2 linked regions of the Lonchura striata genome follow. The protein of the gene in region 2 interacts with the protein of the main gene of each other region in a pairwise test. Links are inferred from orthologs where the notes say so. Each region holds a gene or a part of one and is shown on either strand. Other genes may lie near its edges.

The links. The genes of interacting proteins can lie anywhere in the genome.
Region 1: the proteins of membrane-spanning 4-domains subfamily A member 12 (region 2) and MALL interact in binary tests that used the Homo sapiens proteins (3 or more experiments, as listed by UniProt). The two-hybrid records come from large-scale screens. The link is inferred for Lonchura striata from reciprocal best matches to the Homo sapiens genes MS4A12 and MALL.

Annotation. Positions count from the first base shown.
Region 1 is NC_134605.1:27,654,618-27,658,360, reverse strand, and holds MALL (MAL-like protein), read left to right. Parts: upstream 1-1,359; 5' UTR 1,360-1,368; coding exon 1,369-1,470; intron 1,471-2,523; coding exon 2,524-2,691; intron 2,692-2,899; coding exon 2,900-3,028; intron 3,029-3,360; coding exon 3,361-3,423; 3' UTR 3,424-3,702; downstream 3,703-3,743.
Region 2 is NC_134608.1:53,779,132-53,782,853, forward strand, and holds membrane-spanning 4-domains subfamily A member 12, read right to left. Parts: upstream 2,908-3,722; 5' UTR 2,842-2,907; coding exon 2,752-2,841; intron 2,554-2,751; coding exon 2,434-2,553; intron 2,127-2,433; coding exon 2,070-2,126; intron 1,952-2,069; coding exon 1,820-1,951; intron 1,483-1,819; coding exon 1,369-1,482; intron 1,285-1,368; coding exon 1,201-1,284; intron 948-1,200; coding exon 927-947; 3' UTR 529-926; downstream 1-528. Other genes in the region: membrane-spanning 4-domains subfamily A member 15-like, read right to left, coding at 33-107. UniProt on the Homo sapiens protein: May be involved in signal transduction as a component of a multimeric receptor complex.

The DNA of each region.
Region 1 (3,743 bases), on a different chromosome or scaffold from region 2:
CATCGTCTTTAAGAATGCTGCTGAACAAGAAGGGCAGCCAGCTTAAGGGAAGAATCCTCTCTTGTCCAACCAGTGACCAGTACGTTGCTCCATTTTTAGATTGTTTGCCTGTTCTTCTCCCCCACTCAGAAGGCTGGGTTACTCCCAGGAATGTACCTGACCCAACACAAATAGCAGCTGGTGGGAATCCTGGGAATGCTGTGTTCCCCAGGATTATTTCCTCTGCTGACCCCTGAGCACCTTGTGACCACAGGCTCTGTGTGCTGCCCATGGGGAAGTGATCAATCCACTTTCTCTTTAGTGCTGGACCATCTGGATGCTTCCTGCAGGGTGATGGGGACCTTACCACTGAATCACACCTGGATTTAAGCCCAGGCCAGGCTCAGTTTTGTCTGGCGAGATTTGAAACAAGATTTTTGAAAACCTCCACTGCATGGAGCCAAAGCCAGCTCCCACTGGAGTATTTGTAAACAGGAGCCTCCAGGAATACCACAGAACACTTCCCCCAGCCTAGGAAGTGCTCAGAGACATGGATTTGATCTTTGCTCTGTGTTGTGCAAGAGCTTGGCATAGAAGCCGAGTTCCTGGGGCATCACCTGTCTTGCCTAGCAGAGCTGGAATAACTCACTGTGACAGTGTCTTCCTCCTGCTGTAGCCCGTTGCCCGGGTTAATGGGTTCATTCTGTCCTCTCTGGGCCACCAGGCAGAAGTGCCACCCCCAGCCCTTCATCCCACCCCTTTTCTGGGAGTTCTGGGGCCAGGCAGAGTGCACTGGATGAGACAGCAAGTGCTTCCCGAATCCAAACTGCATTTGCCAGGAGGCAGAAATTCCTGCCGCTCCCCTTCAAACCTCACTGGGCTATCGGGAGCACATTGCCAAACCCTTCTGGTGTGTTTGTAAAAATTTACCTGCTAGTTTCTGAAGGTTGGATGTGCCTGGAGGGTGTGGAAGGGTCTGGCGTGACCGTGGAGCAGAAACCTGAACAGAAAGGGGAGGAGGCAACAACAGTGGAAGCAAAAATATTTCAGGATTGGAAGCGTGCCAAGAGAATCGTTTGCAGGAAACATTTATGTTCCGTCAAGGTGTAGGAAGTTTTTTTCCTTCCCCCTCCAGTTAATGACCTCGCATTGGTGCGTGGTGGGGCCGGGGTCCCGCTCTGTCCCATCCCGGTTGGCAGCGGGATGCCCAAAGCCGCCGCAGTCGCAGGGGTGCCAGGGGCTCGTCGGGCTGGGGCAGCGGCGCGGTGCCAGCCCCGGCCGGTTCCTGTGCTTACGTCCCGCGGGCGTGTCCCTTAAATCCCGCATGGGAGCGGCACGGGACAGGCAAGCGCCAGCGGAGCCGAGCGGAGCGGTGTCAGCGGAGGAGAGATGGCCTCGGTGGGTCCCTCCGCAGCCCCCACGCAGCCCGCTCTGCCCTCCGGACCCGCCGTCTTCAAAACCATCCCCTACGCCTTCATCCTGCCGGAGATCGTGAGTATGCCTCGCTCCGCTGCCTCATGGAACCCACTCCTGGCTAAAAATCCCCTGAAACCATCCTGAAGGCATCGTTACTGGAAAGTGACATCTTGTCTTGGAGCTTATGCTGAATGCACAAAGTATTCCTGACGAGGTTTTTAGGAACAGCTTGAGGACAAGGTACACTCAGCTCCATCACAGCCTGTGTGAGGGTCACTGGCTGCCGTGGGGCTGGGAGAGGCTGAAGAGCTGATGGTTCATCCAGGGCAGACTAGCAGCTCTTGTTATCATGAAGCAGCTCTTGTTAGCTTGTAGAAATGGCTTGAAAATCAAGGGAATTTTGCTCTCTGTATCAAATCGGTCTAGGGGTTGAAGGCAATTGGGCGTCTGCTAATGTGTGATGACATTCCATGATTCTTTCAATTGCTTCTGGGTACAGAGGGCATCCAGGGGACCAGCCAAGATTTTAGCTGGTGTACTTTGTCATGGTGCTGGCAATTCACACACCCTGTGCTCCACAGGCACAATCCTTCCCCGTGGTGGCTGGCTCAGCTCCCTGCTGCAATTCCAGGGCTTTCACCCACCACAGTTGGGATGGCACAGGCTCATCCCAATAACTCCATAGGCTTTTTGTAGTGAGTAAATATTTTGGGTGGATCGCTCCAGGCTGGTGCATGGAGCTAAGAGGAGACTTCCTTGTGCTGCAATTCCAAGCCCCAGAGATTAATGAGCGGGCAGGGCTGGGTTGAGGCAACTTGCTCACTTTTCCCAGATAAAAGCACATTTTCTGGCTTCTCCACCAAATCTCTCGGGGTGAGACATTTCCTTGTGTGGAAGGCGGCAGCAAACCCTTCCTTTTTGTGTGAACACTCATTTCCCATGAGTTTTCAGGGAAACCAGTGCCAACTTGCTTGCTTGTTTCCCAGAGCACTGGGATGCTCTGGGAAAGATGCAGGGGTTCTGCTGGCTGCTGCAGCTGGCCCAGGAGGGAGGCGAGGAGGGAACTGGGGAGGGAAAGGGCTTTTCCTCATTCCACACTCATCAGAGGCACTTGATTGTCCCTGGCAGCTCTGTGGGACCTGGGTGTGGATCCTCATCGCTGCTACCTCAGTCTCCTTGCCATTGCTGCAGGGATGGGTGATGTACGTGTCCCTCACCTCCTGCCTCATCTCCCTGCTGCTCCTCTTAAGCTACCTCCTCGGCTTCCACAGGAACAGCGAGAACTGGAAAGTGCTGGTAAGGAGGGGATGGAACACGCAGACGGCAGCAGCAACGTGGGTGCATGACCCCGTGGCTGGTGACCCACTGACCCTTTCTTCCTTTTACCTTGACTGGAAAGTCCAGGGGAGCTCTGCTGTGAAACCACTGCCTGGGAGGGTCCAGTCCCAGGCCTATCCAGGCACCTGTCCTCCTTTGGGGCACTCACAGGTGCCTTGTTTTGCAGGACAGTTTGTACCATGGCACCACAGCCATTCTGTACATGAGTGCCGCTGTCCTGCAGGCCAATGCGACCATCAACTCTGAGTTCGGCGACAATGCACCACTCAACTACCAACTCAACAGCGCTGCATCGGTGAGTTCACCCTGCCGAGCTGCAGGACACACACCCTTGGAAGGGCAACAGCATGTGTTAAAGCCACAGCAGAGTCACCCCAAGCCCCACAGTGCCAACTAAGCAGAGTTTCAGCTCCACAGCTCTGTGGATGGTGCAGTTAGCGTTGGTTTCTCAGGGTCCACCAGTTCACGGACAGCCTGACATGGCTGGATGCTGGGAAAACTTAGGCTTTGCCTCTCCTTTGAGGTGGAAGGAGCTCTATGCTGGGAGGCTTCCCCATGCTGAGAGCACTGGGAGGAGATGGGGTTTGACTCTGCCAGCTGACCCTTCCTCTTCTTTCTCTCATGCAGTTCTTTGCCTTCCTCACGACCTTCCTGTACATCCTCCATGCCTTCAGCATCTACTACCAGTGATCCTGGCAGCACCAGATTCACCTTTTCTGGATGAGGGCTTTCCCAGTGTGCAAGCCCCAAGGTGTCTGCCTCAGCTCTGTCAGCAGGCCTCAGGAACAGCAAGTCCTTTTGCACTTCATCACAGGAGGGATTTTGTTGGCACACGTTGGTTTGCCTGTGGGACATTTCCTGCCTTGCCTGGGGGAGGGACTTGCAAGGGGAGGGACTGGGCGCAGGCCCCAAGCCTCCAATATCCACATTCTGCCAATATTGACAACCATGGGAAGAGGAAAACAAAAAAATCACTGTTCCTTCAGCAAACAATCTCCTTTCTTATGTTA
Region 2 (3,722 bases):
GGGAGCACATGACACCAGTGTCCCCGTGTCACCTCCAAGAGCGGCTCCAGCCCCGGGGCAGCTTCTCCGGTGGCGGAAGAACCGGGATGTGCTGGCGTCACCGGCATCGCCGCCAGCTGTCCGGCTGCTCCGGCTGAGCTAAAGATAGCAGAACCGTGCTGGAATGGGGGGGTGGAGGGGGTTTGGGGAGCGCAGCTCCCTCGGGAGACCAGGTACCCTGGTTTAGAGAGTGGAGTTCCAGCAGGAGAGGGGATTAGAGGGGCAGAATTCCCTCAGGAGAGCAGGCACCAGGAGTTTAGAGGAGCAAAACTCCCTTGGGAGATGGTGCCAGGGGTTTAGGGGAGCAGAATTCCTCTCAGGGAAAGCAAGCAGGTACCAGGAGTTCAAGGCGGGCAGAATTCCATCAGGAAAGAGAGAGCAAGTATCCCTAAATCAGGCAGGATGAGCCTCTTTCCTGAGGGGCAGCAGCTCTGTGAGGGGGGAAGTGTAGCTCCCACACTGAAAATTCCCAAATTCAAGAGACACAAGCCCGGAGAGAGCGTTTATTCCCAAGAGAAAATGAAGCCAACAGGGGACGAGCCGAGGTAGATGCTCCGGTGACCTGCCCGGCTCCCAGCACACATCGGGGTCACTCCAAACCACCAGGAATTCCTGAACCCCAACATGAGCGAACCCCAGCATCCCGCCAGGGATTGACAGGCAGGAATTGCCCAAGATTTCCCCCTTGGAGAAGCCCTTCCCACAGCAGCCAGCAAGTGGAGCCCCTCAGACCAGGCCCAGGGGCAGAGGGGCAGGGAATTTGGGGGTGTCCCTGGCTTTTGAGGGGGGACCAGCGCATCCCAGCCGGCAGCACAGTGGGAGGAGGATGCCGTAGCTCTGGGATTTAGGAGTGATGGAGGCAGGATCCCATTCCAACATCCTCGGTGTCAAACTTCAGGAGCAGCTAGCTGCAAAGAGACCAGGAGGTGTTTTGGAAAGGGGGCAGGATTTGGGGGGACCCCACGCTCAGCACCCACCACCCACGGAGGTTTGGGATCTCCTCCCCATTCCCAGAGCAGAGGGATGGATGCTCCAGGATGCTCCCTGGGGATTGGGGTGGGATGTTTCCCCAGGGAGGGGACAGCGATGGCAGCATGATGGGGACTGTCATCCCAGGAGCCATCCCAAAGCTGATTCCGCCCCTATCCAGGCTTGGATCACCTCGCTGTAGCTGGGAGGCTGAGGCAGCTCCGCCGGTGGCACGGCCAGATCCACACGGGTGGCACTGGGGACAATCAGCATGGCCTGGGGAACACCAGGATTATGGCAGACACTGGGATCACGGGATGCACTTTTTGGGATCCATCCCTGCCACCCCCCTCATCTTACCTCGTTGGAGCTGAGGCGGGTGGCCCGGCACCAGAAATTGGCAGTGGCCACGGCGATGCAGAATTCCAGGATGGTGAAGATGAGCAGCACGATGGAAATCCCATTCCCTGCGAGCTCCAGGAGGGGGAAAACCCCGTCAGTACCCCCCCAACAGCGCCCACGAGGATGAACCCCACACAGGGCAGCATTCTGTGGCTCCCCCTTCCTTTCCCTCTGCATCCCTGGCTCCAAGGTCTCACTCCAAGCCCTCCATGCCACGTTTTTATGGCTCATGGATGCATCCAGGGGGTGACTCATCTCCCAAGGTACCAGCCGAAAATAGGTCGTGCCGGCAGAGGAGAAACCGCCACCCCAACAGGAATTTGGGAAAGGGCACAACACCCCTTGAGGGCTGGAGAAAAGGCCGTGGGAGGGTTCCCAAGGGCAGGAATTCCACCAAGTGGGATTTTACCAGGACGAGATAGCTGTAGTAGTTGAAGCTGGAGCGGTAGAGCCCGTTGAGGTTGAGGTCCACGATGAAGGCTACGATTCCCAGGAGCGCGAAGATCGCACTGATGACGTTCATGGTCTGGCTGCCCTTCACCTGTGGGCACCCGGGGGGCTTTGGGGAGGGGGGAGGGTGGCAGACCCCCCCAAAGCACCAGGGGGACACCCCACCTCCCCCATGGGATCACTCCCGGCGGGCTCCTGGGAAAACTCACCGCGCATTCCGTGGGGCTCTTCTCAGCGCCGATGGAGAGGCACCCGGAGATGATGAACTGCAGCAGGAGAGACGGGGCTCAGCTGGCGCTGAGGGCACCCCAAACCTGCCCAGAGGTAGCACAGGGGACATACTGACCCCTCCTGCCCTTGATTCCCAGCTGCCGAGGTCATGGGAGCCACAAGTGCATCATTCCCTGTGAGCATCCCTTCCAATGGGCATCCCACCTGCTGGCATCCCCCCCAGCAGAATTCCCTTCCCTGTGGGCATTGTTCCCTGGTGCGATTCCCTTCCTGGTGGGCAACCCCTCCCACCCCAGGCGGTCTTTCCCGGTGGGAATCCCTTCCCAGCCCCCCGGCACGTACAGACACGCCGCCTAGGAAGGGGATCTCTCCGATGACGAAGACGGAGGTGTAGACATTGGTCAGCGTGGTCAGGACGATCCCGAAGCCGATGTGCAGGAATCCCGTCATAATCTGGATGGTCTGGAAGAGCGGGATGGGTGGGAACGGGGTCAACTCAACCCCCCTGCCCACAGAGCCACCCTGGGGATGTGGGATGCCTTAATCCCAGCGCCTCTCCGGATACACAGCACCCCTCGAGGGATCAGCAGGAATCCCTCGGGAACGGGCTGAGGGAGGATTTTCCAAGCGTTACTCCCCCCCCGACCCCCCCAAACTCACCCCCATGACGCGGTTCTTGCCCTTGGGGAGGGTCTCCGCCGTGTACATGACGGCGCGGCTGCCCAGCCGGAGGCTCCCCATGCCCTGCATGAGGAGAGCGGGGGGCACCGGGACCCCCCGGAGCAGCCCCGGTCCCCACCGGGGCCGCCCCTGCCCCACCCCGCCACGGCCCGCGCCCATTGGCTGAGCGCCGTGACGTCACGGCTGCGGTATCCCCCCCCCGGGGCACCGCCCAGCCCACGGGGGACACGGGGGGATACTGGGGACAGCCCCCCCAAAACCCGGGGATGCTGGGGACAGGCTCCCCAAAACCCGGGGATGCTGGGGACAGCCCCCCCAAAACCCGGGGATGGCGGGGACAGCCCCCCCAAAACCCGGGGATGCTGAGGACAGCCTCCCCAAAACCCGGGGATGCTGGGCACAGCTTCCCCAAAACCCGGGGATGCTGAGGACAGCCCCCCCAAAACCCGGGGATGCTGGGGACAGCCCCCCCAAAACCCGGGGATGCTGGGCACAGCTCCCCCAAAACCCGGGGATGCTGGGCACAGCTCCCCCAAAACCCGGGGATGCTGGGGACAGTCCCCCCAAAACCCGGGGATGGCGGGGACAGCCCCCCCCAAAACCCGGGAATGGCGGGGACAGCCCCCCCAAAGCCCGCGGATGCTGGGGACAGCTCCCCCAAAACCCGGGGATGGCGGGCACAGCTTCCCCAAAACCCGGGGATGACGGGGACAGCTCCCCCAAAACCCGGGGATGCTGGGGACAGACCCCCCAAAACCTGGGGTTGGTGGGAAGTGGGGCTGGGAAGATGCTCCGTGGGGTGCCCTGGCTCTGTGGGGCAATTCCCAGTGTTGGCCCCCCCCACTCCAGGACACCGTGTTCCCCCCGCCGGGAAGAGCTGTTCATCCCAAATCCACACGCAAGTTAAGGAAATCGGGGTGTCAGCCCTCCCCAGGCTGCGTGTCCCTCCT